7 linked regions of the Oryctolagus cuniculus genome follow. The protein of the gene in region 7 interacts with the protein of the main gene of each other region in a pairwise test. Links are inferred from orthologs where the notes say so. Each region holds a gene or a part of one and is shown on either strand. Other genes may lie near its edges.

Region 1 (3,901 bases), on a different chromosome or scaffold from region 7:
TGTGCTGGACTTACCTATTGGCATCTCATCCATGGATGTCCTAGCACTGAGACTAGCCCCATGGGACACCAACAGCTCTGCCATCTGCATCTGAAACACAGGAAGACACCCACAGTCTCCCTGCCCAGGGCGAAGAAAGCCCAGGGTGTGGAGTATCCAAAGTGTCTCAGGACAAGACCCAGAAATGGTGGGGCAAAGTTGATTGCTGAGAAAGGCCTTGAAGGCTGGAGATATGGAGGAAATCCTAAAGGGTACCATGCACTTGGCAACTCCTCTAGCATTCTTGGGCCATGCCAAGGTGGGAGAGAAGAAGGAGCTGGCTGTGACTGTACGGCCGTCAAGTATCTGGGGAGGAACTGCATAAAGTGTAATCATATTTGGGAAACAAATAGAGAAACTGCTCAGAACAGAAATGCGGGGAACTTTCTAACTTGGCAAATTCAAGTCTCATCCTACAGGGACGCAGACTGTCTAATGCTTTTGCAAACTCTCTGGGCCTTATGTTCTTTTGAACCGACTGTGAACTCAAAGGACTTAGCGACAGCAGATTGACCCTGTGCTGGCCTCCCCATTCCCCAGCCCTGTGGGTGGGAACCCTGTGCTGGCCTCCCCCACGGCCCTGTCGGCAGGGACTACCTGTCCCCAGAAGGCAGCTGCGTGCAGGGGCTCCCAGCCATCCCAGTCCTTCACATCCACACGCACTCCATGGTCCAGGAGGAGCTCAGCTGCCCGCAGGTATCCGTTGGCTCCAGCGATGTGCAGCTGGAAGAGAGGGAAGAAGGAGCACTCCCTAGAGGGCTGGCCCCACATTTGGAAGTGGATTTCCACCCAGATCCTAGAGCTTCCTTGGGGCTGGCAGAATAGAATACAATGAGGTAGAAATACCAGCCACATAACTGAGGATTAAGTCTGAAATATGGATCTAGAGGAGGAAGCAGAGAGCTGAGCTCTTCTCCCCTGTGGCTGATTTTAGAGCCCATGTAGCTAAAGCAACAGCATTTATTGAGCTCTTACTGTGTACCAGGCCCTGCAGAAGGGGTCTCAGAGATCCACTTTGGTGGTTTTACATTTGATTTTTTTTTTTTTTTGACAGGCAGAGCTAGACAGTGAGAGAGAGAGAAAGAGAGAGAAAGGTCTTCCTTCCATTAGTTCACCCCCAAATGGCTGCTATGGCTGGCGCACTGTGCTGATCTGAAGCCAGGAGCCAGGTGCTTCCTCCTGGTCTCCCATGTGGGGGCAGTGCCCAAGCACTTGGGGGCCATCCTCCACTGACTTCCCGGGCCACAAGAGAGAGCTGGACTGGAAGAGGAGCAACCGGGACAGAATCTGGCGCCCCAACCGGGACTAGAACCTGGGGTGCGGCGCCACAGGCGGAGGATTAGCCAAGTGAGCTGCAGCGCCGGCCACACTTTGGTGGTTTTAAAGCACATGTGCAAATACTTCCTTTCAAAGATGGAGCCCGATTGCTCTCCCCTCAAATGCGGGTCTGACTTCTAACGAATGGGACATTACAAAGTGGCAGTATGTCATCTCTGAGGGTAGGGAATAGAAGGCATCTCTCTCTACCTCCTGCCATCCTGGACCAATCCAGCAGGAGGCAGTGACCATGGTGTGAGGACCCTCAAGCAGCCCCAAGGAGAGATACCAAGGAGGCAAGAAACAGAGGCCCGTGTCTATGGCCTGCACCAGCGCGTCAGCTGTGTGGGTGTGTGCCGCCTTGGAAGGGAGTCCTCCAGCTCCTATCAAGCCTTCAGATGAGACTTCAGCCCCAGCAAACACCTTGACTGCAGTCTCATGAGAGGGGCCAAACCAGAGCCACCCAGTTAAGCTATATGGTGGGGCAGTCTGTTAGGCAACAATAGATAATTAATACACCCAATTAGGAAAGCCCCACGTAGAGGTCCAACCCTTCTCCCTGACCCCACTCAAGGGCTCCAGTCACTGACAACTAACAGACCTTAGTTGTCCCACTTGTTCAATCGCCCAGAAAATGCGTAAGAGGATTTGCACCTGATGAGCACTCACTGCATGATGAACAGTCCAGGGAGCCCCAAGTAATGACAAGGTGCACCAAGAACACAAGCAGACAGAGGAGACAAGGCAAAGAAACCCACTGCCCAGCCAAGGTGGGAGGAGAACGCCAAGTGGGCTCAGGTCCAGGGAGGCAGAGTGGGCATAGCCTAGTAGTCAGATGCTCCCTCACTCACCCTGACAGAAGGGTGCTATCAGGTTCTAACCTTTTTATATACCAAAAATTGGCAGAGTAAATCTAGGGCATGGTGGGATACAGGCAGACATGAAAATTAGTCTGATTAGCTGATATATAAAAGTTGATGCTTGCTAGTTGTGACGAATGATACCTGGATGACCAGACGGACATCACAGATTGCAGAGCCTCAATACTTGGCTGGGAATAAAAAGGCATGAGGGGGTGCTGGTGCTGTGGTATAGCAGGTAAAGCCATCACCCGCAGTGCCTGCATCCCATATGGGTGCTGGTTGGAGTCCTGGCTGCTCTACTTCTGATCCAGCTCTCTGCTGTGGCCTGGGAAGGCAGTGGAGGATGGCCCAAGTGCTTGGGCCCCTGCACCCACATGGGATACCTGAAGAAGCTCCAGGCTGCTGGCTTCAGATTGGTTCAGCTCTGGCCATCATGGCCATTTGGGGAGTGAACTAGCAGATGGAAGACTCTCTCTCTCTCTCTCTCTCTCTCTCTCTCTCTCTCTCTCTGCCTCTCTGTAACTCTGTCCTTCAAATAAATAAATGGCATGAGTGGAACAGTGCTATTATTAACAATGGTGACCACGGCTGACATCCCGAGAGTTTAGACTCGGTACTAAGCACTCACACGCAGAATCTCACTGAACCTTCCCAGCAGCTCTCAGAGTAAGATACGGTGATCTCCAGTTTAAGGGGAAGACCTGAGACCCAGATGTGCCAGGTCCATGTGGGTGAGCCAGCCCCAGTGCAGGAGGAGAAGACCCCTGAGTCCAGGAAGCCCAATCACAGACCCAGTGGAGTTCCAGCCAAGGTGGGCCATGCCCTGGTGCAGGCTGGCCTTGACTTCAGATAGTGGCATTGAGTCTCACCATCCGAGACTATCCTTCAGTGCTGGGCTGAGCAGGTGATCCAAGCAGGGACTCAACTAACAGAAATGGGCATGAAGCAGAGGTTAGAGCCCAGTGATGAGAGAGAGAAGCTCAGTTATCACCCCTGGGCCACCAGCTCAGGACTGATGGGCAGTGAGGGGAATTTGCTAACACTGAGTTCTAGTTGGTGGGTTTGAGAACTCGGAACTTCTGAGGGCCCGTGACCAGCACAGAGCCCAAACTGTGGATAGCACCCAGCCGCTGGGAGGTGATTTCTCATGTCATGCTCTTGTCAGCTCAGCGGCTACAGAACCTGACCCTCCCCAGTGCTGGGCTGCAATATGCTATGAGGAGGAGCTAGCGAGCTCTCCCCAAGTCACTGACACTTGAGCTGCAAGGATGAATGGAGTTAATCAGGCAGACCTAGGAGAAGAGGGTCTACTATTCTCTTTCTAGGGTCTAGGGGAGTATGTAGCACAGAGGAAGTCCTCAAACTGTGTTGGTTGGTTGGTTGGTTGGTTGGATGGACGGACCAATGGGAGGATGGATGACTGAGGGTGAACAGACTGAAGTCAGGGAACCCAGGGAGAGGCCGTTGCAGCTCTATCAGGGAAAGCTGATGAAGCAAAGTGGTGGGGTGAGAGAGACGCTAGGCAGAAGAACGGATAGTGCAAGGCAAGGTGGCATGGATGAGAGGGTGAACGCTGTCACCAGTCTTTGCGAAGGGGCATCATTGGAGGAGAGAAAAATAATGAACTCAAGATGAGCACCTGGAGCCTGGAGTGTGGATTCTGGAGACAAAATAGCTGAACA
Region 2 (4,372 bases), on a different chromosome or scaffold from region 7:
GAATAAAATGGCATCAATAGTAGACATTTTTAAAGATTACCTGCACTCCCTTCAACCTATTAAATGAGCTATAACTATACCTTGGTCCACCACAGCCCTAAAGAAACACACAGCTTATTAACTACTGCCTAGCAGGTCCCTGGGGAGATCCAACACCCATTTCTGGCCACCGGAGCTACACTCCATGCCCATCACGAATTATAGTCTCACCTCACCTACCTGAAAAAATATGGCGCTGCCGTCAAGCCGCCAGAAATTGGTTACAGGGTACCCGCTGTGCCCTCGACAAGGAATCAGCTCCAAAGGCGAATGACAGTTGGGGCACGCCTTCTCTGCAAACCCCGGAGGGAGAGAGATTAGACCCTGGGCTCTGCGGGAAGATGGGGGAGAGGACCCACGACTCCCAGGCCGCCCCGCCCCGCCGCGCCCTCACTCTGCTGTTTCAGCCGCGCCTTGTCGCAGATGGCCGGTCGCAGCTGCAGCCGGGAGCCGTCGGGCAGGACGCAGCCGTGCGCGCACACCACCACGCCCAGGCACGACTTCTTGAGGATGTGGCCGTTGTGGTTGTTGGTGTTGCGCATGGCCCAGCCGCTCTGGTGGCGCTGCGCCTTCTTCTCGTCGCTGCTGTAGATGAAGCGCACGTAGCCGTCGGGCCACTCGCGGAAGTGGTCGAAGTGGGCTGGCTCCTGTGAAGACAGGTGCTGAACTCGGCCGGGCTCCAAGCACACGCACCGCCCTTTTCTCCAAGCCCATTAGAAGAAGAACAGGTTATTGTTCAATCCAAAAAATGTTGCAAAACACCAAACCATACCACCACAAAATGCTGCTCTTCCTGGCCTTTGGGACAAATGGCTAGTCACTGGTGAGTATACACTGCCTGTCTCCTAAACGCTACACTGTATTAATTCATCTAGCCTTTACCACATGTGCAGGCAGGAAGTACTACTCTGCCCATTTTACCCACTAGAACATGGACATCAGAGGGGTCAGTTGGCGTGGCCAAGGTCACACAGCTCACAAGACCCAGCTCTAGGATTTGTACCCCGGCACTTGGACTCCACAGCCTATGTTTCTTACCAGTTCTTGGTTTGTTTAAATGCGATTTTCAAGTGGAGTGTGAAAGTGCCAGGGTAAAAAAGGGACTGCAATTCTCTATCATGGGGATGAACTTTATCCTTGGAAAAATCTGTATTACAGCCCAGTGTGTTTTTTTTCCCAAAAGCTCTTGATGCCCTATGCCAAACCAAATGGACTTTAACATAATCAGCAATGTCTGCAGAACATCAGAGAAGCAAAGACAGCTTTCCTCTAGACTGCCAGCTTAGCATAAATTAATATACTGATTTAAGGTTAAGTCCCAAGTGATGTATTCATGCTGCTAACTCCATGTTTTTATTAAACGCGAGTATCTCTGAACATTCAACTTTAGCATCTTAGTAATAAACCAGCCACTGAGAGTATACCCTGAGTTCTGTCCTGACGGTACAGACTGAACCCCCCCTGACGGTACAGACTGAGCCCCAGAGTTCACCCAGCTACGGGGCCAGGGACACGGCAGGTGAAGACACAGAGGAGGTTATTTGAAAATCAAAACATCAGCAAAGGATTGCAGGATTGGGTTTCATTCGCTCTGACATGCTTGTATGTGTAGAGATACACACAAAGAGAACAGGACTGTAGGGCCAAGGCAGAGCTGAGATGGTTATCTAGTTCCTCCACCTGATGACAGGTCCATCTCTGAGACTAAGGCAAACTCAAGGACTCTCTCAAGGTCAGGGAGCCTGTTTAGCTTCTCCTTTGGTTAGGCAGAGCAGTGCTAGCTTGCTACGTTTCCTCTATTTTCTTTCACTATTCCAATGAGTCTGTTGCATTTGAGATGTTACACACATTCCCTACTGAAGAACCCATCTCCCAAGCAAAAGAAAATCCTTGAGAGATGAGCCATTGTTGCATATTTGGAGGTGACTCTCACCTAAAATACAAGTTCAGAATGTTTTCCATGAGGATTTATGTGGACAGAAGTCAGCAAGAACGAGACACACGTGTGGACTGTGGTCCACTTGTGCACAGATGCACAGTGCAGCACTGAAGTAGGTAGACTTTGAAACAAACTACAAAGTGCACGTCCAAAGACATGTTGCATTCCAATGAAATGCTGTTCTTCTGAACACCCATCTGGCACATAATAGAAGATAAATAAATGCTATGTCTCTTGACCCTGTGCCACCATGTTGCTGCAGGTCTACCTTCACAAATGTGTGGGGAAGCAACTCCCATGGTCCCCTCACCTGCAACCAGGACTTTTTGACTTGAACCAGCATCACCAAGGGTACTGCTCAGTTCCCAGTTCATTCTCTCTATTCCCACCCATTAAAACAAAAAATTCACCCTAAAAGAATGACTATGCTGATGGCCCCATGAGTGTAACTGTGGAGTTTCCTTCATCCAGGCAGTAGAGAATGGCTGAATAAATTGTTTCAGATTCAAGTCGCCTCCATTTACAGCCTTCTTTCACAGTTTGAATGCGAGAGAAGCAGTGGTATTTACATTGTTGAGATTCTTCCCTCAATTTCTACTGGATTTCAAATAAGTGGAGGAGCAGAGAGGCATTTGATTTCTCTCTTGGGTAAAGGAAAGTGAGGGAGTCTACTGTCTCCTGATGGCCTTTTCCTGCTGCCTTCGCTGTGTTTTGAGACAAGCGCACAAGGAAATCGCGGGGAGAAGACACAGCCCCAAACCCAGATCTATCTTTTGTAGAGAATACAGAAATTCCCTCTGCGTGTGAGGGCGCTCAGAAATGGGGGGGGGGGGGTCTGCTCACAGGGTCTCTGCCATTTCCCCTTCTCTGGATGGACCGCGCCACGCGTGCCGCTCTCACCTTGGGCATGTGCGGATCATTGATGTCCCAGGTGAGCTTCATCCCATGGGAGCACACAGGGTCCGCGTTCTGCCCGGCGTCCACCGGCATCGGTGCGCTTCGCCCGCGCTCTCCGCGCGGGATCCTGAAAGAGAAGAGAGGAGAGGGGCGCACGGCGGCTTTTCTCTCTTTAAAAGGAAAGGTGTGTGTGTGTGTGTGTGTGTGTGTGTGTGTGTGTGTGTGTGTGTGAGAGAGAGAGAGAGAGAGAGAGAGAGAGAGAGAGAGAGAGAGAGAGAGAGAGAGAGAGATAAAAATCCAGAAGCTGCGCGCTGTAGCTCGGGAGCCAGGCAGAGCCCTGTCCCCGGCTGCGGTGCTGAAGGCACTCGCCCGACCCCAGCATCCCGCACGTTTATAATCGCTCAGGTGCAGCCGCTCCGCCTTTCCTCGCCCCCCTCTGTAAAGTCACCCCCTCTCCGACAGAGCCAGGAACCGAGACATCAACGTTGAGCCGAGCCGGGAAGCCAAGGGAACCTGACGCTAAGGCGCTGGGACGGGGGTGGGGTGGAAACGTCTCATTTAAGTTGCAAACCAGTTTACTTTGAAACTCGCCCAGGCTCCGTGTTTCGGAGAGGGGCTTAGATCTAGGACTTTGGTGTGGAGCTTTTCCAGCTAAGTCCTCCGGGAGCCAGCCCTGAATTCCGGGGCAGCGCGGGAACCCTGGTCCGGGTTTGGAGCTCTTGCGGTTGGTGTTGTGCGTGTCCCGGAGCCTCTGGACTTTCGAGGGGTCACTGGGCGTTCCGTGTGCTGACGAGCCTTGGCGCGCCCAGGCCACCAAGGGCTGCAGGGGGACCTGGCCGGCGGGAAGGGAGTCCGGATGGGGACCCCGAAGGAGGCGGGCGAGATGCGCCGGAGTTAGCTGGCCAGGGCCAGGAGCTGAGCTGGGCGGGCCAGGCGCCTGAGTCGCCAAGAACCTGCGGATCTCTCTGCTGCCTGGACATCCTTCAAGCTGCAGCTTTCGTAACTGCGGGGCCGACGTTGCCAACGCTCTCTAAACACAACTGTTTAAAAATACATACTTATCGATATTGTGGCAATCTCACGACGAAATCTCACTTATTCCATCACAGCCTTGTGAGGCCCCGGGGGCCTGGAGGACCCCTGGCGAGGACGATGTGGTTCCCAGGGCTAGGACCAAGCTGTCTTCACCTATGCGGTCGCCTCACCTACGCGCCCGCAACTGAAGCGACTAAAAGCGCTGCGCTTCCAGAATTTGCTCCCTGAGCTCTTGTCTTGCTGCCCACAGTTTCCAACCCTGGTCAAAGAGAGCCGAGCGTATCACTGTTAGAAGCTGTTCCGTACCAGCACGGCTCTAAGCCTGGAGACCCGCGCCCCGTGCGCAACACCGCGGGATTGGTTCTCCCTGTTGACGCAAGGCGGGAAAGCAGGTGCACCTAAGGCGCGCAACAACCCCAGGCAGCGAGGGATCGTCCACGGTGTCCATCCGCCTGCCTCCCC
Region 3 (4,643 bases), on a different chromosome or scaffold from region 7:
CCTCGTTGCCTGGCACAGTCCTCATATTTCAATAAATGCTACTCCAGATGAATGGAATAATGTATAGAAGGTATAAAAATAAATCTCTTGGCCAGCACCGCGGCTCAATAGGCTAATCCTCCACCTTGCGGCGCCGGCACACCGGGTTCTAGTCCCAGTCGGGGCGCCAGATTCTGTCCCGGTTGCCCCTCTTCCAGGCCAGCTCTCTGCTGTGGCCCGGGAGTGCAGTGGAGGATGGCCCAAGTCATTGGGCCCTGCACCTGCACGGGAGACCAGAAGCACCTGGCTCCTGGTGCGCTGGCAGCAGCGGCCATTGGAGAGTGAACCAATGGTAAAGGAAGACCTTTCTCTCTCTCTCTCTCTCTCTCTCTCTCTCACTGTCCACTCTGCCTATCTAAAAAAAAAAAAAAATCTCTTATAGCTAGAAGCAATAGGTGGTATAGTTTGAAGCTCAAGTTAGGCTAGCATTCAGTTTGAGTTTGAAGTAGATGGGTTTAGTTATAATGGACCTGGTAACCAAAAAGAAAACATAAGCAGTTTTTCAGCCAAATAATATGATGAAAATATTTTTACAAGTATAATTGTAAAGGATAATCAGTGTAAAGAATAATCTGGAAATTAGAGAAAGGAAGACTAATTTGGACTATGTGGGGGGAAAAAAGAGCAGTTGAAAAGTTACCCTCTCCGTTGGTACAAAGGAATTCTGTTGGACATCAGATTACAGTGTTTAAAAAGGAACATTTGGGACAGTTAGCCTACCAGTTAAGACACCTGCTCCTTATACCGCAATAGCTGGGTTTGATATTTGGCTCCAGATCCTGACTCCGGCTTCCTGCTAGCGCAGACCTTGGGCAGCAGTGTGATGATGGCTCCAAGTATCTGGGCTCCTGCTACCCACATGGGAAGCATAGATTGAACTCCTGGTTCTCAGCTTTTGCCCAGCCCGGCCATAGCCATTGTGGGTATTTGAGGAGTGAACCAGCAAAAGAGAACTCTGCGTGTCTCTAACTCTCAAATTTAAAACACCGTTTGGTTAAATAGCTCCATTTTTATCCTGAGGAGCAGTTGAAGGCAGCAAAATGGCTTAGTGGGACTAGCACACAGGCGACTTTTCCTACTGAAACATCTAAAGGGTCCTAAATCACTCATAGCAGCACTGCTCTAGTCCACCTGCAACCTGCAACTCCGCCAGCGCAGAAGGGGACAAAGAATAAATAAAGAGGGGAACGGAAGAAACAGCTTGTCCGGCTCTGGTGTGCCGCTCAATGTTATCTTTCCTCTCCTGTGGGCTAACTCAGATGAGAATTTCTATGCAGCCAGATAGACTTAAATACCCCGACCAAGCGGCTGATACGAATACGACGTTCTGATCCCCCTCTAGAGCTTGTCAAAGGGACTATGGGAATCAATTAACCTCAAGTAAATGAGAATGAGTAGAGGCGAACCAACCCTCTTGGAACGCAGGAGTTTTTAAAGAACTGGGAGTGGGCTAAACGCCAAGTTCTGCAACGGTAGGGATCATCGTGTACCCACTGCACCCCGACCCTAGCACAGGGCCTGGCACATAGTGCGCTAACCACAAACGTCTACTGAGTGAAAGGGCGGCAGGCTGAATGCGTGAATGAGTGATGCAGGAGAAAGTTAAGACCAAGAACACCACCATTCGGTAATGGTGAATGTCTTGTGAGGAGTGCAGGGTAGCTGAGGAAGGAGCGTCAGATTGAGTGCAAAATTTGCAACAGAGATGTGAGACTCTACTCAGGGGCTTACGCAGGACTGTTGGCAGGGCGTCTGCGGACTTGGGAGTCCCGGCGCTGAGGCGCAGCCCGACCTGAGCTCTGAGGCGGCCGTCAGCCCCGCGGCGCCAGCCGAGAGCAGCCCTGCCCCGCCGCGGAGGGCCTGAGGGGGGCGTCTTCGGCCGCGCCGGTGCTCGCCGAGAGCCAGGAGGACCAGGTAATGGGCTCTCTGCCCTCTCGGAGCTGGGCTCCTCCGCGTTTCCTCACGCCTCCGGGCGGGGAGGGAGCGCAGCCGGAGCGAGCGGCCGGCAGCGCCTCGCAGGCTGGGCGCGGGCCGAGCGAGCTTCCGACCTCCCCGGGCAGGTGACGGTGGCGCAGGTCGGGGCCCCGCGGGACAGACGCCCTGAGGCTCAAGCCCCGGACGCTTGGGTCGGGTCAGCCCTCCGCACACGTTCCTGAGAGCCAGGAGCTGGGCCGCCTCCCCCGTCGCACCCCGCGCCTGAGGGCGCCCTCGCAAACTCCGGGCACGGTGGGCGCGAGGCCGGGGCCCAAGAGACAGAGCGGGGCGGGGGGCGGGGGTGCCCAGTAAAATAATTTCATCTCCTTTGAAGTCAGAGGAAACCAGTGAACCCGGAAAGTTGAAGTAAATGTTTTAATTTTTTCTCATATAAGGAAAAAAAATGAAAATTTTAGAACCCACAAACGTGTATTAATTTATTATAATGTTTTTAATGCAAGGAGGGGCCCGCGAAGGCGAACTACGAAATGTTTAAGGGACTTGCCAGCGGCGGGACTCATTTATTGCAGGCCGAGGCACCCTCGGTCTGTAAGCGCTAGTCCTTGCTCCTCCTCCTTGTTAACGAGGACGCCTAATGGGGCCCGAATTTGCGCCTCGGGGACCCTGAGGGCCAGTAGGGAAAAGAACGTCCAACAGAGGGAGTCACAGCAAGAGCTTGTTTGGGGTGCGCTTGTCAGGGAATGGCCTGACCCCAGGGACGGAGAGTTGGACACAGGCCAAACTCGGGGGCCAGGGTAGGAGTTTGGATTTTGTTCCAGGTGTAATTGGAAGTCATTGGTCTTTGGTGGTTCAGGGCTGTTCCAGGTTTAACCAGTTTACAAGGGGCTACCGTTAAGCAGGGGGGTGAGTAAAAACGGAGAGTCAGTGCTAAAGCTGGTTCCTGTTTAAGTGGCAGACCCACACATGCGATGCATGAACTGACCAGGTGTGGGGAGCTAGGGAAGAGGGTGGCTGCTCACCGCTTTTAGAGGACAGTATTCCAGTTGACATTGGCTTGGGATTTGAAAATGCAAGCTAAAACTGTTCTGAGATCTTAACAATCAGTGGTGAAAATTGTAGTTGTTCTGTGACTCCTAAAAATTATTGCCAGAACACCAAGAGCTCTCTTATTAAGCTGGTTTTTAACTTTTTTTTTTTTTTTTTTGACAGGCAGTTAGACAGTGAGAGAGAGACAGAGAGAAAGGTCTTTTTTTTTTTTTTTATTTGTTTGTTTGCAAGAGTCACAGAGAGAAGTAGAGACAGAAAGAGAGGTCTTCCATCTGCTGGTTCACTCCCCAAATGACTGCAACAACTGGAGCTGTACCAATCTGAGATCTGAAGCCAGGAGCCAAGAGCTTATTTCTGGTCTCCCATGTAGATGCAGGGGCCCAAGGATTTAGGCTATCCTCTGTTTTCCCAGGCGCATTAGCAAGGAGCTGGATCAGAAGTGGACCAACCAGGAGTCGAACCAGCATTACACAGGGGATGCTGGCATTGCAGGCCAGGGCTTTAACTCACTGTGCCACAGCACTGGCTTTATTGTTTTAAGTATACAGGAAAATGTAAAACAGTAAGACTAATATGTATTTCTGCTACTGTATTTAAAACATTAGAAATACTGGCGTTTGAAGCGTTTTACTTCTAGAACTACGTTGTTGTTTTTTTTTTTTTTAAGATTTTATTTATTTCTTTGAGAGGTAGAATTAGAGAGAGAGGGAGAGACAGACCTTCCATCAGCTGGTTCACTCCCCAAATGGCCACAACAGATGGAACTGGGCCAGGATAAGCCAGCAGCCAGGAGTTCTTCTGGGTCTCCTATGTGGGTGCAGGGCCCAAGTATTTGGGCCATCTTCTGATGCTTTCCCAGGTGCATTAGCAGGGGAACTGAATCAGAAGTGCAGCAGCTGGAACTTGAACTGGCACCCATTTGGGATGCCAGCGCTGTAGGCAGTGTCTTAACCCCCTATGCCACAGTGTCGCCCACCAAGATATAACTTATGATAGAGCAAGCATATTTTCCATGCCTAGGAAATGTTATACTACTTTCCAAGTTTGGACCAGTTTCCAAAATTTTATGCTTTGTGCTTTCAATTTTGTGAACTATCTCCAAGAGCTTTTTTTTTTAAATAATAAAGTGTTTTTTGCAAATGACATTTTTTCTGGAACATCTTCATCCTTGTTGTCACAACTGTTTTTCTCATTTATGTTGTTTATGTTTGCCTTTACTGATTCCCTCTAATTGCATAGTAAGCATCTATCGAATGGTGGCAGTGTCAGCATGCTCAGTCAGCTGTTGCTTCTATGACTCCATTTATGTTCTACTCAGATTTTACTTTCCGCATTATCACTTTTTCTTTGCCTCACTTCCATTTTTGTTGGCCAATTCCCTCTTTGGATTATTGATTTTCTAGAAAAATGTCCTTTTTTGTCCTTTTTTTTTAAAGATTTATATGTTTATTTGAAAAGCAGAGTTACAGAGAGGCAGAGGTGGAGAGAGAGATCTTCCATCCTCTGGTTCACTCCCAAAATGGCTACAATAGCCAGAGCTGGACAGATCTGAAGCCAGGTGCCTGGAGCTTCTTCCGGGTCTTGCATGCAGGTGCAGGGGTCCAAGGACTTGGGCCATCTTC
Region 4 (3,901 bases), on a different chromosome or scaffold from region 7:
GTCTTAACTTTGCATAGGCCCACTCCCTATCATTCGTTATCAAACTCAGTTTAAGCTTGGCTAAAGCAAAGTACTTGGAGAGTAAATAATTCTTTAGTTGAATATTATATAGTGGTCTCTCCTATCTTAGAACTAGCTTTGTAGGAAAGGGGATTTGGAGTTGAAAGACCTTTACACTGACAGGTGCTATAGCTTTGTCTCATGATCTTTGTCTCAGTTCACTTTTCTGTAAACCTACCTCACTGTTTTGAGGATTCATTATGGGTTTTTTTTTTTTTTTTGATAAATTGTATAAAGTAGTAGCTAGAATGAGTTTTATAGTTTATTGAACATTTTCTTTTTATATTTATTGTAAAGATAATATGAAAAGCATTAAAATATTTACAAGATAGAAGGGAAGTATCTATCATTCAGTCTCCTTAATATAAGAATATATTTTGTTTTGGGCAATTTCTTTTCCTCTCTTTTTGTTCATTATGCTTATATATGTATTTTTGTATAAATTTGCAAATCCTTGCACTAAACCACTGAGAGCCAAATGGAGCTTTATAGCATGTGTAGGTTTTTTCCCTTTGTTAAAAATGAGTATAGTCATGTTCAAGATTAATAATGATACCAGAAGATATACTTAAAATTTTACTATTTCCCTTTTAGTTATCCAAGCATTAGGTGAGCATCTTAAATTAAGACAACAAGTTATTGCCACTGCTACGGTCTATTTCAAGAGATTCTATGCCAGGTAGGACTGTTTTATTTTGGGAATATACTAGATGTCTTAAAAACTCTTATTTAATGTTGATGAATCGTGTGTGCGGTAGAGTTAACTTGATATTTTTTCTTTAGTGTGTTTTTCAATGAGTGACACTTAACTTTGTTTTATGATATTTTTAGGTATTCTCTGAAAAGTATAGATCCTGTATTAATGGCTCCTACATGTGTGTTTTTGGCATCCAAAGTAGAGGTATAAAACAATTTTCTGATTTTCATCAATATTGGTTAATCTGCCCCAGTTGTCACATTACTTATTTAAAGATAGTAGTAGATGATAATTTAAGCAAAATACAAAAATGACACAAAAATCAAAGAAATACATACATAAATTTGTGTATTTATTTTTTAAGGGCTTATATGGCTCTTAACAGAGTACCAAGTGCTTTTGTAAATCTTTTTACAAGTATTAACTGACTTAATCCTCATAAAAAATGGAATATGTGATAGTAGAGTTCCTACTTTATAAATGAAGGAACTGAGGCACAAAGAGATTAAGAACTTGCCTGTATTTGTACAACTGGTAAGTCGCAGAGCTAGTATTTTGAACTGTGAGAGTCTAGTTCCTACTCCTATTTTCTTATTTTTTTTTTCTGCAGCCTTTAAGATTTTTAATTGTTTTGTACAAGTAGAATTCAATAAATGCCCTAGCTTGTTTCCTATAACCTAAGAGTGTCTCTCCTTCGCATATGCTTATTGCTACTGTCTTCCCTCCTTTCCTTGTGGTGATTGGCTGCCTACCAAGCCATCAGGAAAACAAAGGAATGGCAATGATTAGGAGAGGCTACAGCTATACAGATTCTATCAAATAAAAATCAGATGAAATAGAAAATTCAGGTGAGGGAGAGAAGAAACATAGGCACTTAGAGCTGAGACTGAATTTTTGCTTACCCTATTTATCTTTTCTGCAAAAATCCAGACAGTAGTAGCAGATATCAACTGTTTTTTTAATCCATTCAGGTTTTTTTTTTTTTTTTAAGATTTTTATATATTTATTTGAAAGAGTAACCAGAGAGAGAGAGGTCTTCCATCCGCTGGTTCACTCTTCAGATAGCCACAATGGGCGGAGCTGCACTGATCTGAAGCCATGAACCAAGAGCTTCTTCTGGGCCTCCCATGTGGGTGCAGGGGCCCAAGGACTTGGGCCATCTTCTGCTGCTTTCCTAGGCCATAGCAGAGAACTGGATAGGAAGTGGAGCAGCTGGATCTTGAACCGACGTCCATATGGGATGCTGGCACTGCAGGCGGCAGCTTTACCCACTATGCCACAGTTCCAGCCCCCAATTCATCAGTCTTCAGTATTACAAAGCCTTTGTACTGTGTTTCTGTTTTTAGATATCTTTATAATAGTAATGATATTCTTGAATATTATGGTTTTTTTTTAAGATTTATTATTTGAAAGGCAGTGACAAGGTGAGAGAGCGGGGCCATCCAACTGATGGTTTAGTCCCTAAGTGGCTGAAAAGATCTAGGTTGGGTCAGACCTAAGTCAGGAGCCAGGAATTCCATCTGGGTCTCCCACATGGATGGCAGGGACTCAAGCACTTGGGCCATCTTCCACTGCTTTCCCAGTCACATTAGCAGGTAATTAGATTGGAAGTGGAACAGCCAGTATACAAACTGGCATTCCAATGTGGGATGCCAGTGTTGCAGGTGGTAGCTTAACTTGCCACAACGCCAACCCATCTGAATATTATTTTAGCCTATTGTTATTTTTTTTTTTGGTACTCATTTTGATTTAGCTTTGTTTTAGCTATTGTTTAGGATTATCACTGACATTTCTCCCAACTATTATCTCAAGAATGAGAATTGACCCTATTAGAAAGAATACTAAGGAAAACGTTTTAGTGATTTAATATTTTTCAATTTTAGAGGTAGTTTAAGGAGGCAGAACTGACTTTGTTAAGTTCTTTTTTTTTTTAAAGATTTATTTATTTATTTGAGAGGCAGAATTATAGACAGTTATACCATGCCTTGGTTTGCTCTCCAAATGGCTGCAATAGCAAGAGCTGGGCCAATCTGAAGCCAGGAACCAGGAACTTCCTCTAGGTCTCCCACCTGGGTGCAGGGGCCCTGGTGCTTGGACTGTCTTCCACTGCTTTCCCAGGCCATCAGCAGGGAGCTGGATTGGAAGTGCAACAGCTGGGACTTGAACCAGCACCCATATGGGATGCAGGGATGCAGGCAGAGGCTTAATTTACTATGCCACAGTGCTGGCCCCTGTTAAGTTCTTTAATGGAAAAGAAAATGTTTATAAAACAATTTTAATATGGGTCTATTTTTTACAAATATTGCCATGTAACGGCTATTTTTATATATCAAGCACAACCAGTATTTGATACCAATTTGTTGATACCAACAAAACCTTATTAAACATCTATAAGCTTTATAGATTAATTTAGATATTTTGTTGTTTTTTTCATTATTGAATTTTTTTGAGAGATTTATCTTACTTATTTATTTGAAAGACAGAGTCACGGAGAGAGGTAGAGACAGAGAGGTCTTGCATCTGCTGGTTCATTCCCCAGATAGCCTCAATGGCTGGAGCTGAGCCAATCCGAAGGCAGGAGCCCGAAGCCAGGAGTTTCTTCTGGATCTCCCATGTGGGTGCAGGGGCCCAAGGACTTGGGCCATCTTCTACTGCTTTCCCAGGCCATAGCAGATAGCTGGATCAGAAGAGGAACAACCGGGACTAGAACTGACGCCCATATGAGATGCTGGCGCTTCAGGCCTGGGCTTTAACCTGCTGCGCCACAGCACAAGCCCCTTTTATTTAATTTTTTTTAAAGATTTATCTTATTTGAAAGGCAGAGTTACAAGGGAAGAGGGGCAGACAGAGACAGAGAGATCTTCCATCTGCTGGTTTATTTCCCAGATGGCTATAGTGGCCACAACTATGAGTCAGTCTAAAGACAGGAGACAGGAGCTTCATCTGGGTCTTCCACATAGGTGCAGAGACCCAAGGACTTGGGCCATCTTCTGCTTTCCCAGGTGTATTAGCAGGGAGCTGGATCGGAAGTGGAGCAGCCAGGACTTGAACTAACATCAATCTGGGCTGCTGCCATTGCAGACATGAGCTCAACCCATTATACCACAACACTAACCCTGCATGATTTAATTTACTTGGTAGAAC
Region 5 (4,700 bases), on a different chromosome or scaffold from region 7:
CTAATTGTGCCATTTTATTTCACATCCGAATCAGATGTGGTTATTTGTCCTATCTGTCTATTAGGGAATGAAACTCCAAAGGACAAATGATATTTTTCATGATTTTCTGAACCACACATTTTACTTTGAGGGGAAATCCCAGAATGGATTTAAACTAGTGTTGAAAAGACATCTGAGTGTTTATCAATTCGCTCAACTCACTGTATGATCACGATCACATTTATTAGCTGTTTACCACTGCACGTTTGGCAAGCTGCTGTTACGGACAAGAATGCATCCCGTAAGTCAAAGGGCACGTGCATAGGGATACTCAGTCTTTGGGATTTGTAGCTTCAAGCTGGTCTGTGGGCATGTGACTCAAGTCATCGTTCTGCTGGCTGAGAGGTCGCAATTCAGGGGGATTAGGATTGGATTTAAGTTCATGCCTGTGAATACACACCGAACAATTAGGCCACGGGGCTTGGATCCCACTACAACTTGCTGTAGGCGCAATGTAAATGAAAAGTGACCTTGTGTGTCTCTGCACCTTGTGTGTCTCAGTATTTTCTCGGTCAGCTTTTTGTTCATTCCCTTTTGGGGAATGAATCTATAACTATTATCAATACCATAACATAGCAGTTAAATCCTCTCTCTTCATTACTTGTGTGAATTCGGACAAGTAAACTTTTCTTTTCCAACCGTCTGCAAAGTAACTAAAAAGTTTTAAGTCTCTTCCAACATTAACAACCCAGAACCCTATATTCAAAACTATAAATATTTTCAATTGAGAGTTTTACACTCGCTGCTGTCAACTTCCAGGAAGTATAACCCATTACCTACAAGTGGGATCATTTCTTTTTGTTCTGTCTGTAAAGCTGCAGACCCAACTCGGGATGTAGGGAGAGAGTACCTGCCGTGGGCAAGGCATCTTTCCTTGGGGAATACAGACTTCCCCCAGCTGGAAGGGGGATACAGCCGGCACCCCAAGAACCCGCGAGCTAGGAAATGAGTTTTGAACTGGAAAGGCCGCGGCCACTTGGCACCAGAAAAAACTGGAGGGAGCTGCGGACTTTTGCGTTTGTGTCTAATGTAGACCGACGGTAGTCGAGTCACGAAGTCGTCAGACGGCACTTGTCGCGGGCCCGCCACCTCTGTAACCTGAGGCATACACCTAAGACGCCACCCTGCACCTGACGACCCGGACTCCGCGCAGGGCGAGGGCGCAGGTCCCCAGCCCGATGGGGCAGTGCGTCGGGGGAGCGCGGGCGGCGTGGGCCTCCGTCCCGCGAGGAGGGGGTCCACTCAGCACAGCAGCGCCCACCGAGCAGAGGCGAGGGAGGGGGCCGCTGCAGGCGGGGTCGTCGGCGGGGAGGCCAGCCCCGGGTGGGTGATAAAGGATCCTTCGGGCTTTGTTTAGTAACACGCCAGGCCCTGCTCTCCCGAGAAACCAATTAGATCCCCGCTGCGGGATCATCTGACCTGCGTCCCCCACCCGCAGGGGGCTCGGAAGGGGCGGGGCTAGGCGGGGCCGGGCCGGCGACTCCTCGGGAACGCGGCCGCGGGTGGTGCGGGGGAGTCCCGAGCGCTGGACCCGGACCTGGGCCCGCCCCTCGGCAGAGGCCCCGCCCCACGCAGGCCCCGCCCCCGGGGCTTCCCGGGCGCGCGCCGCCCCGCCGTGTCCGCGCGCCACGCCCCCCTGCTCGCGGGCCGCGTGCGGAGCCGCGCGCCCCGTAGGCTCTGGGACCGTGGCGGCGGGCGGCGGCGGCGGCGGCGGCGGCGGCGGAGCAGCCGTCCGCGGGCCATGTCTTCTCCGGCCGTGGCGAGGGGCTCTCCGGGAGGGAGTCGGGAGACGGCCCTCAGGCCCCGGAGCCGAGGCCGGTTTTGGGAAGTGGGCGGCGGCGGCGGCGGCGGCGGCGGCGGCGACCAGCTGGAGCGCGCGGCCGCGGAGTCGGAGCGCTGGGAGCTGCTGCTCCGCCGCGGCGAGCTGCTGGCGCTTGGCGGCCACCTGAAGGGAGCGCTGGAGGCGTACGCGGCGGCGCTGCGCCGGGGGGCCCCGGTCAGGCCCGAGTGCCTCGGCACCCTGGTGGACTGCCTGGTGTTCAACTACCGGCTCCGCCACGGGCTGGGCTGGAGCGCGGCCCCGGCTGCCGGCGCGGGTGCGGGCGGGCTGCTCAGCTGCCTGGGCTGCCGCGGCTTCCTCAGCGAGCCGGTGACGGTGCCCTGTGGCCATAGCTACTGCCGCCGCTGCCTGCGGAGAGAGCTCCGCGTCCGCTGCCGCCTCTGCCGGGACCGGCTGCCGCCCGCCGCCGTCGCCAGTGCCGCGGGTGCTGAGGGGACCGGCCCGCGGCCGCCGCCTCTGGCCGCCGCCATCGCGGCCTCGGACTTCAGAACCAGCGTCGTCCTCAACCACCTGGCCGAGAAGTGGTTCCCGGGTCAGCGCGAGCGAGCCCGGGCGGCCGGCCGGCTCGGGGAGCTGCTGCTTCAGGGGCGCTACCGGGAGGCCCTGGCCGCCGCCTGCGAGGCGCTGCGAGCAGGTGACGGCGCGGGGATGCGGCGCGGGCCCGACCGACCCCACCCTCCTTTCCCGGGCGGGCCGGGTACCCAGAGCGGGTCTGCGCCCTGGGGCAGGCTCGCCCTGCTTCCCCGGGGGCCGCTGGGCACTCGGCGTGCGGGATCTCGGGGTGCTCGAGGGTGTGGGAGGGGGCGGCGCCCGGGGTGCTTCGGTCACAATGGGGATCGCCCTGGGAGCCCACTGTGACGCGGCGCGGGGAGGGGCGCGCGGGCGCGGGGTTCCCTCGGCCGCGGCCTGGCGCTCGGGCGCGCGCGCGTGCGGCGCGGAGCTGCGGGCCCCCGGGCCGGAGGCCGCCCTGGCGCGGGATGGGTGGGAGCTGGGGGAGCCCGAGCGGCCGCCCGCTTCCTGCCGCGCTCTTTCCGGGAATTGGCGGCTCGGGCCCGGCAGGGCCGGGCCACCCCGGGGGTGGGAGACGACATCGCGGCGGGGCGGGGATCCCCAGCCGAGGTTGGGCGGGCTAGGTCTACCTTCCCGACCCGCAAAAGTCACCGGGGCAATTGGAAGCCGCGGGAGGGCAGAATTGCATAAGCTGGGGTGGAGGGGCGTTGTGTAACGGGTGACGTCCGGTGGGCGTGGCGGGAGCTCGGCGCCCGCACCCAGTGCCGCGAGGCCCCTCCGGCCGCGGTGGTCAGCTCCTACCTGGAAGTGCCCGCGGAGTGGGTGCATCTTGAGGCGTCCACCTGCTCTTCTCAGGTCACGCCGGTTTCATTGTGCTGACTCCGGAATACGCCCAGCCCAGGGCAGGGATGCAGAGGTAGTCTCTAACCCAGAGTTACCGCCTCGCTTCCGTTCGCCTTTCCACTTAAGATCGAGCCCAGGGGGAAAGGCCGTGTAGGGCTTTTGTCTCTTCCTTTGTCTCCAGGACGCACCCTCGGCTTCCCAACTTCAGTTAGCACTTTTCCCAAGGCGGTTTTACATTGTGCCAGACGCGCCTGTAAAACTTCCGTTAGAAAAAATGAAGTTCTTGGATCAGTTCTTTTACTAGGGGGGGGGTTTCACTACCCCCTCCCCAAGGACATTATCCAGGGCAACATATCTGGCAGTGTCTAGGGACATTTTTGGTCCCCACCTCTTGTAGGCGTGATGCTGGTCCCGGCACTGTGGGCACTGTGCGGCTGACCTGCCACCGCCAAGAATGCAGGCCCCAGACGACCATCAGTGGCACTGTGGGCGACACTTGTATGAAGTGGATTGCAAGATTTTCATGTCGCTGTGTTGGCAGGAAATAATGCTTGGGGGAAATAATCCCCAAGGAAATAGACATGAAATATTAAACTGACTTTGGGTGTTAGGTAAGTTTAGACACTGTGGAACTGAAAATACCCTCCTGTGGGTGCTTAGTCATATTGAACCAGTGACAGTGTCTTGAGTTATTTAGAACCTTCAGAGTTCACAGCACAAACTTGCCATGTTTTTGAGGCCTTTTAGTGTGTCTGTGGAGGAGGCAGTTGTAAAATATGGTAATAGTCTCAGAACAAAAGGAAAATAATTGGGTATTAAATTCTGATACACCTGACTGCCTCTTGTGGGCAAATAAGCCAGAATTGGCTGGATAGAACACCTATCACAGACCATGTGAGAAAGCAAGGGCTGGAGCAGTGCAGTGACTTGCCCCAGTCACACAGCTGGCTGCTTGGAGAGGCAGCTGTGTGTCCCTTTCTAAAGTGGGCCTTGTGTTCATCTGGTCTTTATAGGTCATCCACTCAAGTGCTCATGCACATTTCCCAGGAGGGTTTTCTATCACTAGTATAAAATAGAGGATAAAACTCACCAACAGCACTATTCAGTATCTACGCCTGACATGGTGATATGACATTCTTTTAAATTAGGTTCTTTATAAGCTTTGAGGTCCTATTCCTTGGAAGAATAGTGAACACATTACAGATTTAAGTCTAGCTTCATGTTCTGTGACTAATATTTTTTTGAAAGTTTATTTTGTTTATTTGAAATGCAGAGTGATAGAGACAGAGTGAGCCCTTCCATCCTCTGGTTCACTCCCTAAATGCCCTCAGCAGCTGGGGGCTGAAGTCAGGAGCCAAGAACTCTATCTGGCTCTCCTATCTGAGTGGCAGAAACCCAAGTACTTGGGCCATCAAATGCTGCTTCCTGAGTGTGTAAGCAGGAAGCTGGATGGGAAGCAGAGGTGGGA
Region 6 (3,901 bases), on a different chromosome or scaffold from region 7:
CGGCACACCGGGTTCTAGTCCCGGTCGGGGCGCCGGATTCTGTCCCGGTTGCCCCTCTTCCAGGCCAGCCCTCTGCTGTGGCCCGGGAGTGCAGTGGAGGATGGCCCAGGTGCTTGGGCCCTGCACCCCATGGGAGACCAGGAGAAGCACCTGGCTCCTGGCTCCTGCCATCGGATCAGCGCGGTGCGCCGGCCGCATCGCGCCGGCCGCGGCGGCCATTGGAGGGTGAACCAACGGCAAAGGAAGACCTTTCTCTCTGTCTCTCTCTCTCTCACTGTCCACTCTGCCTGTCAAAAAAAAAAAAAAAAAAAAAAAGATGCTGGTGTTGCAGGCGGCAGCTTAACCCACTATGCTACTACACAGCCCCTACTCCATGCTTTTTGTTATTACTTTATTTCTTTGAGAAGTAGAGTTACAGAGAGAGGGAGATAGAAAGGTCTTCCATCCACCAGTTCACTTCCCAAATGGCTGCAAAGTCTGGACTGAGCCAATCCAAAGACAGGAGCTTCTTCCAGGTCTCCCATGTGGGTGAAGGGACCCAAGCACTTGGGCCATCCTCTACTGCTTTCCCAGGCCATAGCAGAGAGCTGGATCAGAGGAGGAGTAGCCAGGACTAGAACTGGTGCCCATATGGGATGCCAGCACCGCAGGCAGAGGCTTAACCTACTATTCCAGAGCGCCAACCCCTACTCCATGCTTCTCATTCAGCTTCCTGTTATAGTGTCTGGAAAGTAGCAAGTGATGGCCCAAGTATTTAGGTCTTTACCACCCACATGGGATATAAGGATAGAATTCCTGACTCCTAGTCCTTGGCTGTAGTGGGATTTGAGGAATGAACTAGCAGATAAAAGGTATGTCTTTCAGTCCCTCCCTCCTTATCACTCTGCCTTTCAAATAAATCCTAAAAAAAAAAAAAAAAAAAAAAAAAAAAAAAAGAGGGGCTGGTGTCATGATGCAGTAAAGATAAGCCACACCAGCATCCTGTATCAAAACTGCAAGTTCTAATCCTGGATATTTTGCTTAAAATCTAGCTTCCTGCTAATGCGTCTGTGAGGGCGGTGAATGTGGGCCCAAGTGCTTGGACCACTGCCACCCACATGGAAGACTAGAGCAGCATTCCTGTCTCCTGGTTTCTGCCTGACCCAGACCCAGCTGTTGGGGCCAGGTGGTAAGTGAACCAGTGGATGGAAGATCTGTCTCTGTAGCTCTGCCTTTCAAATAAATTTAAAAAAAAAGCCAACACAATCCTAACAACTTTTCTATAAAACTAAAATCATTCCAAAATAAATGTCAAAAAAGGTTTGTCAGCATAGCTGCCATGTCAAAAAGCCCCACAATCAAGGGTTAACTTATGTTCAAAGATGACAGAAACATTCTGGAAGGTCTCTGTGCATAGGTACCTTACGCAACACTCCTGAAGGTGGTCACTTGTAACACACCCACTAGTAAGTACATTAGGTCTTCTAATTCACCTAAATTGATTCCAAAGACGACAAGTAGAGAAGGAACGACCTCAGCCCTTCTACTGTAGTGAATTTACAGTTTGTGTGCTCCGTAAGTCATTCACATATGATGCAAGAGAGTAGATTCTAGGACACCACTAACATTCAGGGTGCCCACCTGTAAGTTTACTCTTAAGACAAGATTACACAGTACCTGAGGCACTTAACCCCAAAGCCTCAAAGCAGTTACTGGTCATTTCATTTACTTCCAGGATCAAATTCTTACCAATTATACTACCTCATTTGCTACTTCTCCCAAATACTGAGTAGTGTTTCACTGTAAGATTAACATCATGGCAGTAAACAAGGCAGAGGTTGCCATGCAAACTCTCTGCTGTTCTGGGCCCTGAGGGAGCAGGCAGCCCTACAGGTAAAGTCTCACTTACTGAACAAGTAACCTGGAGCTGCTGCTGCTGCTGTTGCGGTGGCGGAGTCTGTTCCTGGGGAGTTTGCTGTTGTGGTTGCTGCTGTGGGTCCCATATATGGACAGTCTGAGCCGTATTCTGGTACGTGCCTGCCACAGCCTGCACAGCCACTGGAATGTGGATGTTGCCATTCATGAACTGTGCTGGAAAGAGAGAGTTTGCAAGGGTCTGCACTACCTCTTCATGGGAGTTTTTCACTACAGACGTGGTGCCCACCATCTTCTCCTTGTCATCCTCCAGCTTTACAGCTGCCAGGGCCGTGGGTGAGCCACTGACGTGAACTGCGTTGTAGGCTTCTTGGGGAATGGCAATGTGGGTAATGCTCTGTTGTTGAGGGTCCCCCCGGGGCTGGGCAGAATAAACAGGGATGGTCCAGGTTTCTCCTGTAGGGCTAGTAATGGTCCCAGTAGCACTGTACAAGTGGGCACTGTCTACTGTCAGTAAGTCTGGCCTCAAAGACACATAACTCTGCTGCTGGCCCTGTGGAATGGCCAGCACGGTGGCCACCGGCTGCCCTGAGATGGCGTAGGACACAGTGATGGGCATGTCCACTTTGCGCTTCTTCACTGGCTGGAGGACACTGGCCGTGCCAACCCGCCGCTCCCCTTCCCGGGGTGAGCCCTGCTGGGATGATGGTGGGGAAAGGGCACCCACAGTCTGGATTTGGATCTGCTGACCCCCAGCAAGAGACTGGCCAGCCACCAGCTGAGCCTGGATTTGCTGATGTGGGATGTGCTCTTCCGGGATTTCTGCAGCCTGGATCTGCTGGGCCGCCTGCACGTGCTGCACCTGGATCTGGGCCGCTTGCAGCTGCGAGGGACTGGGGCTCTGCAGAGACGGGGTCTGGATGGAGGGGGCTGCTGACTGCGGTGCCTGGCCCTGGATCTGCACCTGGACCTGGACGGGCTGCTCGGCAGGCTGATGAACGGTGAGCTGTGGGGAGAGTTGCTGAGCCAGGACCTGCTGCGGAGACTGCTGTACCTGCACCTGTACCTGTAGCGACAAGATTTACCAATGAGTGAGACAGGCAACATAGAGAAACCAGCCCTCCCAGGGGAAAAAGATTTCAGGTGGAGTCCCTGTGTAATCTGAGGAAGGGCTACCATACCCAAGCTTCTGAGGAAGCCATAATTCCCAAAATAATATGCAAAATTCTACAACATAACACTGACACATATCCAATCCAGAGAGTAAAAAAAGAAATACAGGGGCTTGGGCCAGCACCGTGGCTTAGCAGGGCAAGCACTCGCCTGTGGCACCAGCATCCCATATGTGCAATGGTCCAAGTCTTGGCGGCTCTAATTCTTATCCAGCTCTCTGCTGATGGCCTAAGAAAGCTGTAGAAGATGGCCTAACTACCTGGGCCACTGTACCCATGGGTGGCTTTGGATTGGCACAGCTCTAGCCTTTGCGGCCATTTGGGGATTCAACCAGCAGATGAAGACCTCTCTGTAACTCTGCCTCTCAAATAAATAAATAAATCTTAAAAGAAAAAAAAAAAAAGACAAAGAAATACTGGATGACTCTCTGTCTCTCCCTCTCAAATAAATAAAACCTAAAAAAAAAAAAAAAAAAAAAGGCGCCAGCGCCGCGGCTCACTAGGCTAATCCTCCACCTAGCGGCACCAGCACACCACGTTCTAGTCCCAGTCAGGGCGCCAGATTCTTTCCCGGTTGCCCCTCTTCCAGGCCACCTCTCTGCTGTGGCCCGGCAAGGCAGTGGAGGATGGCCCAAGTGCTTGGGCCCTGCACCCCATGGGAGACCAGGAGAAGCACCTGGCTCCTGCCTTCAGATCAGCGTGGTGCGCCGGCTGTAGCGCGTCAGCCGTGGCGGCCATTGGAGGGTGAACCAACGGCAAAAAGGAAGACCTTTCTGTCTCTCTCACTGTTCACTCTGTCAAAAAATAAATAAATAAATAAATAATTTAATCACCTATGCAATAGCTTTGGGAGGTAGGAGTACAATTGGAAGTTT
Region 7 (4,448 bases):
GAAGAAAGCACTCTGCTCCAGCTTCCCTGGACTGACCCCCTTGGGGCCAGGGCACGGGGCCTCCTGAGCCCACTTCTCCAACCCACTCTAGCAGCACTGCTGATTGGCAGCTTGCCAGCGGGAGCTGACTGACAGCTCAGTCCCCTCCTCCATGGGCCCATCTGTCCTGTCTCCATCTCCTGCAGAGCCACCCCCTCCCCTGCTCTGGGGGCCGTGGCGGAGGGGGGCAGCAGGGTCTGTCCTGGGATGGGCTTCTCCCATCAGGACGTCCTGACTGGTCCCTGAGGGCCAGGGGCCCCTCCCTCTCTGTCTGTCACCCTGGCTCTTCAGGCTAATGAGACCTGCCCTGATTCCCCAGCTGGCCTTAATCTCTCCCAGCAGGGGGCATGGAAGAAGGGGGGGTGGAGATAGGGCTCCTTATGGTGAGGTACAGTGGCCGCCAGAGGAGGGATTCCTGTGTGTGTGCTCATGTGTGCCTGCATGCATGCCTGAGTGTCTTTGTATGTGGGTTTGTGTTTGCCTGTGTGTGTTCCATGTGGGTTTGTGTTTGCGTGTGTGTGTGTGTTTCTATGCCTGTTTGGAGGTCTGGGGAAAGTAGAGCAGACCCACGTGGGGACAAGAGCCCAGGGAGATGTTAACATCCAGAGACAGAGAGTGAGACAGTGCAGAGGGAGACCAGGCAAGGAACCCGGGAGGGAGCGAGTCAGCAAGAGGCCCCCCCCCAACCCCAGGGAGGACACAGAGGGAGGGGCCTGGGGAGTGAGGGAGGCAGAGGCAGGGAGGAAGAGAGGGGCAGGTTCAGGGTTGGATGTGGGGGACACAGGTCTGCCCGGCCGAGGGCAGAGGGGCTGAGACCAGGCTGGAGCCCCAGGCAGAGGGGGACAGGCAGGGATCCAGCAAAATGAGGGCGGGTCCTTGAGGCCGAGGGAGAGACAGCTGGGGAGGGGAGGGAGGGCGGCGGAGGGTGTGTGTGGGGAGAGACAGACAGACAGACACACACACACATACCAGCATAGAGAGTGCCCGAGCACTCGAGCAAGTGGGTCCTGGAAGTGGGCCCATAAAGACAGAGGAGGGTGGGGGGAGAGCGAGGGGTGCACGGGCCAATCAGCACACAAGGCACAGCCTGGGGCCCGAAGGAAGAGACACTGAGGCACAGAGGCCCCACACAAATCGAGCGAGAACGGGAGCGTGGGCGGGAGAGCGAGGACGCGGAGGTCAGGGACCAGCGTGAGGCCAAGGCAAGGAAAGCATAAGAGGGAAACTGAGGCAGAAAGCAGAGGACAGTGTGGCAATGGGGAGATGGGCGGCTGGGGAGGCACGGGGGCACCCAGGAGTGGGTGCTGAGAGCCCTGGGCCCCTCCTCCTCCCCACAATCTCTCAGGAGCGCCCTGTGTTTCTGTCCATCTTTGCTGCGTCCCTCTGTGACAAAGCTAAAGCCGGACGGGCACCAGTCAGACCCAAGCAAGGACTTCCCGAGGGGTGGAGGCTCTGGTCACAGGCAGGTGCAGGACTGTCCCCCCACATCTCCATTAGCCCTAATTGCCAAGATGTCGGGGGAGGGGCGAGGGGACTTAGGCAGATGGGTGCCCCTCCCCCTCCTAGCCAATGTCACCTCCCGGTGCCCAGTGGGTGCCCCAGCTCGGCGGCAGGGATTACCCCCCCGGGATCCAGGCCACAGCGTGTGACATCACTCCCGGCTCCGGGGCTTAAAATCACCCGGCGGGTGGGGACCTGTTTCCTTCTGCCTCTGCAGCCTGGGTGACTCCTGTGCCGTGTGCGGGACCTGGGCCACCAGGGCAGCCAGGTCGGTCCCTGCCTTCGGAAGGTGAGCGAGTGCAGGAGAGGCAGAGGGCACTGCGGCGGGGGCCGGGGTTGGGGCCGGGGCCGAGTTCCCCTTGTTCCCGGCTGGCTGGGTCTGTGGGGTGGCGGACTGGGCAGGTACACAGCAGAGGGCGGGGACTGGCCCTGGGCACACGCAGGGGCCCTGGATGGAGGGTGCAGGGGTGAGGGCTTCTGGCCGTCCTTCCCAGACAGCCCCTCTGCACCCCTGCGGGGTGTTCCTGAGAAGTCTCACTGCTGCCTGGAACTTTCTTCTCTGGGCATCTGCCTCTCCCACTCTCTCTCTCTCTCTGACCCCTGATTTCTTCCCAGTGCCTGCTGTGTGGTGGGGGATTTGCCAGGGTGTGAATGGATGGACAGGGAAAGACAGAAAGGAAGCGACGCGTGCACGCGGGGCCGGGCTCTCGGGCTCTGCTAAGTGGGGACCCTGGGGGGACTGCCCGAGGGGCCGGGATGCTTTGGGAGCCATGAGGCTGGTGACCTCATTACTTGGGGACCTTGCCACGCCTAACGGCTCCGGCCGTGCCACATCCCCTCCGAGGTTCCAGCTCCTGGTCTCTCCTGCTCCCTGGGGACCCAGGACAGAGGAGCCCTCGGGGGCTGCAGAGATCGTATGGGGGGGCACACAGCCGAGCTGGGGCCCCTTGCCAAGGGTGGGCATGGAGCCCTTTGGGTGTGGCCTCCCTGGGCTCCGGTCTCCTCCTTTGCAAGGTGGGGCTGGTGACGGAGGAGCTGAGGGAGGCTGGGGTCACAGGCCAGGGGAGGGGCGGGGTGGCCTCATCCTGCTTCCTGGGACCCCAGGTAGGTTTGGGGGACAACGATGGGTCCTGAGAGACTTGGGTTCTCTCTCTGCTTCTGCCACTTACCACCCATGTGGCCTTGGGACCCCTGGGCTCTGGGGGACTGGGGGAGAGCAAGGTGGGTATAGGCTCAGGGGGCGCTGGCCCAGCTGCTGGCCTGTGTGTGTCATGGGACCAGCCTCAATTTGCCCCTCTGTATACTGGGGCTGATGCCAGGAGCAGCCTCGTAGGCAGTTCCTCCCCCAGGTTCTTGTCCCCCGATGTCTTGTTCCCAAGGCCGTGCTGCAGGGACTGAATAGCTGGGAACGCTGGGACGTCCTTATTGTTATCCAATGCCTGGACTAGGGTGGGCATCCTCCTCCCCAGCAGGCTCAGAGACCCCTCCATGCAGAATGGGGTCACTGCAGGCCTGCCCAGGAGGTGGGGGTGAGCGCTCAGGTGGACGCGGGGCCCCTGGCCGGTGCTGCCGTCCCTCCCACCAGCCCTGGGGCCTTGAAATGCAGCGGGGCAGGGGGCGCTGTCAGGACCATGGTCAGTTCCCAGACACAGCCGGAATCAGCCGCTTGAGATCCTGGCTGACAATTCCTGGGGTGCTCGTGTTGCCGCCCACTCCTCTCAGGAGGTTCCAGGGAGGCCCTTCCGAGTTCATTTCTTGCTTGTCATTTGTTGTCACATCCCGTCTTCGTGGCTTCATCCACGCCTAGCGAACAGATCAACCCTGGGTTCCCACATGCTGCTGCTTGGCCCTGGGCACGCGCCTTCCTCCCCTGGGATCCTGCCTGTAGGATGGGCTTGTCCTCATGGGAAGTCCAGGCTTTTGGGGACACCAGCAGGGTCCTCCTGCCCCACTGCGGGGTCCTCCCGAGTCTCCCTCTTCCCATGCTCTCTTGGGGTTCATAGCAAACACTTCTCCTCTGCAAAGTGGGAGACAGCAGAGGGGAGGCGGATGGAGGGGCTGAGAAGGCAGGGGTGGAATCCGGGGTCCCCAGAGGGCCTCGCTGGGCCTGAGCACAACTTTTGGAGTGCGATGGGGTCCCTGCCTCCCAGGGCTGTGTGACAAGGTACTTCCTGCTTGGAGGTCAGGGGGAGGCTGGAATGCCAGTTTCCTGGGGCTGTTTGAATTGCTACGAAAGGTAACAAAGTGTTGCAAGCTTGCAAGGCGGTGGGCAGCAGGCATAGATCTCCCACTTGGCTGCTTGAGCCTCCTCCTAAGGCGGCAGCCAGCTCCGCTTTCCCTGGGGGCTGCCCTCTGCCAGGTCCCCAGCATTCTTGGTTAGGTACTGCAGCCCCTGCCGACCCACAGGGGTCCCCGCAGGGTGTGGCCATCAGGGTGGACTGCTCTCTGCTGCTGGTTTGTTTCTATGCGTTTCTACCCCAGGACGCCCCCGCAGCTCCTCCTAGATCTTTCCTCTCTGCCCTGTGATTGGTTCTGGTCACACTGGACCAAGTGATTCCAGCTTCCGGGCCGTTGCACCTGCTGTCCCTACTGCTGGGATCCTCTCCGTCCAGGACTGACCCAGTTGGGGGTTTCATCTTTGTCCCCCAACACTGGGACCGTCGCATCACCCCATTTTATTTTCTCCCCAGTTCATGAAACTCTGAGAGCATCCAGTTTGTTTTTTTTTTTTTTTTTTTTTTTTTGACAGGCAGAGTGGACAGTGAGAGAGAGAGAAAGAGAGAAAGGTCTTCCTTTTGCCGTTGGTTCACCCTCCAATGGCCGCCGCAGCCGGCGTGCTGCAGCCGGCGCACCGCGCTGATCCGATGGCAGGAGCCAGGAGCCAGGTGCTTATCCTGGTCTCCCATGCA

Evidence for each region.
Region 1: the proteins of cone-rod homeobox protein (region 7) and PPP1R16B interact in binary tests that used the Homo sapiens proteins (3 or more experiments, as listed by UniProt). The two-hybrid records come from large-scale screens. The link is inferred for Oryctolagus cuniculus from reciprocal best matches to the Homo sapiens genes CRX and PPP1R16B.
Region 2: the proteins of cone-rod homeobox protein (region 7) and GCM2 interact in binary tests that used the Homo sapiens proteins (3 or more experiments, as listed by UniProt). The link is inferred for Oryctolagus cuniculus from reciprocal best matches to the Homo sapiens genes CRX and GCM2.
Region 3: the proteins of cone-rod homeobox protein (region 7) and M1AP interact in binary tests that used the Homo sapiens proteins (3 or more experiments, as listed by UniProt). The two-hybrid records come from large-scale screens. The link is inferred for Oryctolagus cuniculus from reciprocal best matches to the Homo sapiens genes CRX and M1AP.
Region 4: the proteins of cone-rod homeobox protein (region 7) and CCNC interact in binary tests that used the Homo sapiens proteins (3 or more experiments, as listed by UniProt). The two-hybrid records come from large-scale screens. The link is inferred for Oryctolagus cuniculus from reciprocal best matches to the Homo sapiens genes CRX and CCNC.
Region 5: the proteins of cone-rod homeobox protein (region 7) and LONRF1 interact in binary tests that used the Homo sapiens proteins (3 or more experiments, as listed by UniProt). The two-hybrid records come from large-scale screens. The link is inferred for Oryctolagus cuniculus from reciprocal best matches to the Homo sapiens genes CRX and LONRF1.
Region 6: the proteins of cone-rod homeobox protein (region 7) and QRICH1 interact in binary tests that used the Homo sapiens proteins (3 or more experiments, as listed by UniProt). The two-hybrid records come from large-scale screens. The link is inferred for Oryctolagus cuniculus from reciprocal best matches to the Homo sapiens genes CRX and QRICH1.

The regions. Positions count from the first base shown.
Region 1 is NC_091442.1:19,948,958-19,952,858, forward strand, and holds part of PPP1R16B (protein phosphatase 1 regulatory inhibitor subunit 16B), read right to left. Parts: intron 763-3,901; coding exon 637-762; intron 91-636; coding exon 15-90; intron 1-14. UniProt on the Homo sapiens protein: Regulator of protein phosphatase 1 (PP1) that acts as a positive regulator of pulmonary endothelial cell (EC) barrier function. Involved in the regulation of the PI3K/AKT signaling pathway, angiogenesis and endothelial cell proliferation.
Region 2 is NC_091436.1:159,772,426-159,776,797, reverse strand, and holds the start of GCM2 (chorion-specific transcription factor GCMb), read right to left. Parts: upstream 2,969-4,372; coding exon 2,879-2,968; intron 687-2,878; coding exon 434-686; intron 333-433; coding exon 220-332; intron 1-219. UniProt on the Homo sapiens protein: Transcription factor that binds specific sequences on gene promoters and activate their transcription. Through the regulation of gene transcription, may play a role in parathyroid gland development.
Region 3 is NC_091433.1:128,320,449-128,325,091, forward strand, and holds the start of M1AP (meiosis 1 arrest protein), read left to right. Parts: upstream 1-1,588; 5' UTR 1,589-1,953; intron 1,954-4,643. UniProt on the Homo sapiens protein: Required for meiosis I progression during spermatogenesis.
Region 4 is NC_091436.1:72,164,543-72,168,443, forward strand, and holds part of CCNC (cyclin-C), read left to right. Parts: intron 1-654; coding exon 655-739; intron 740-891; coding exon 892-961; intron 962-3,901. UniProt on the Homo sapiens protein: Component of the Mediator complex, a coactivator involved in regulated gene transcription of nearly all RNA polymerase II-dependent genes.
Region 5 is NC_091433.1:77,988,969-77,993,668, forward strand, and holds the start of LONRF1 (LON peptidase N-terminal domain and RING finger protein 1), read left to right. Parts: upstream 1-1,673; 5' UTR 1,674-1,780; coding exon 1,781-2,513; intron 2,514-4,700.
Region 6 is NC_091441.1:100,095,028-100,098,928, reverse strand, and holds part of QRICH1 (transcriptional regulator QRICH1), read right to left. Parts: intron 2,921-3,901; coding exon 1,889-2,920; intron 1-1,888. UniProt on the Homo sapiens protein: Transcriptional regulator that acts as a mediator of the integrated stress response (ISR) through transcriptional control of protein homeostasis under conditions of ER stress.
Region 7 is NC_091449.1:9,969,566-9,974,013, reverse strand, and holds the start of cone-rod homeobox protein, read left to right. Parts: upstream 1-1,301; 5' UTR 1,302-1,501; intron 1,502-1,756; 5' UTR 1,757-1,828; intron 1,829-4,448. UniProt on the Homo sapiens protein: Transcription factor that binds and transactivates the sequence 5'-TAATC[CA]-3' which is found upstream of several photoreceptor-specific genes, including the opsin genes.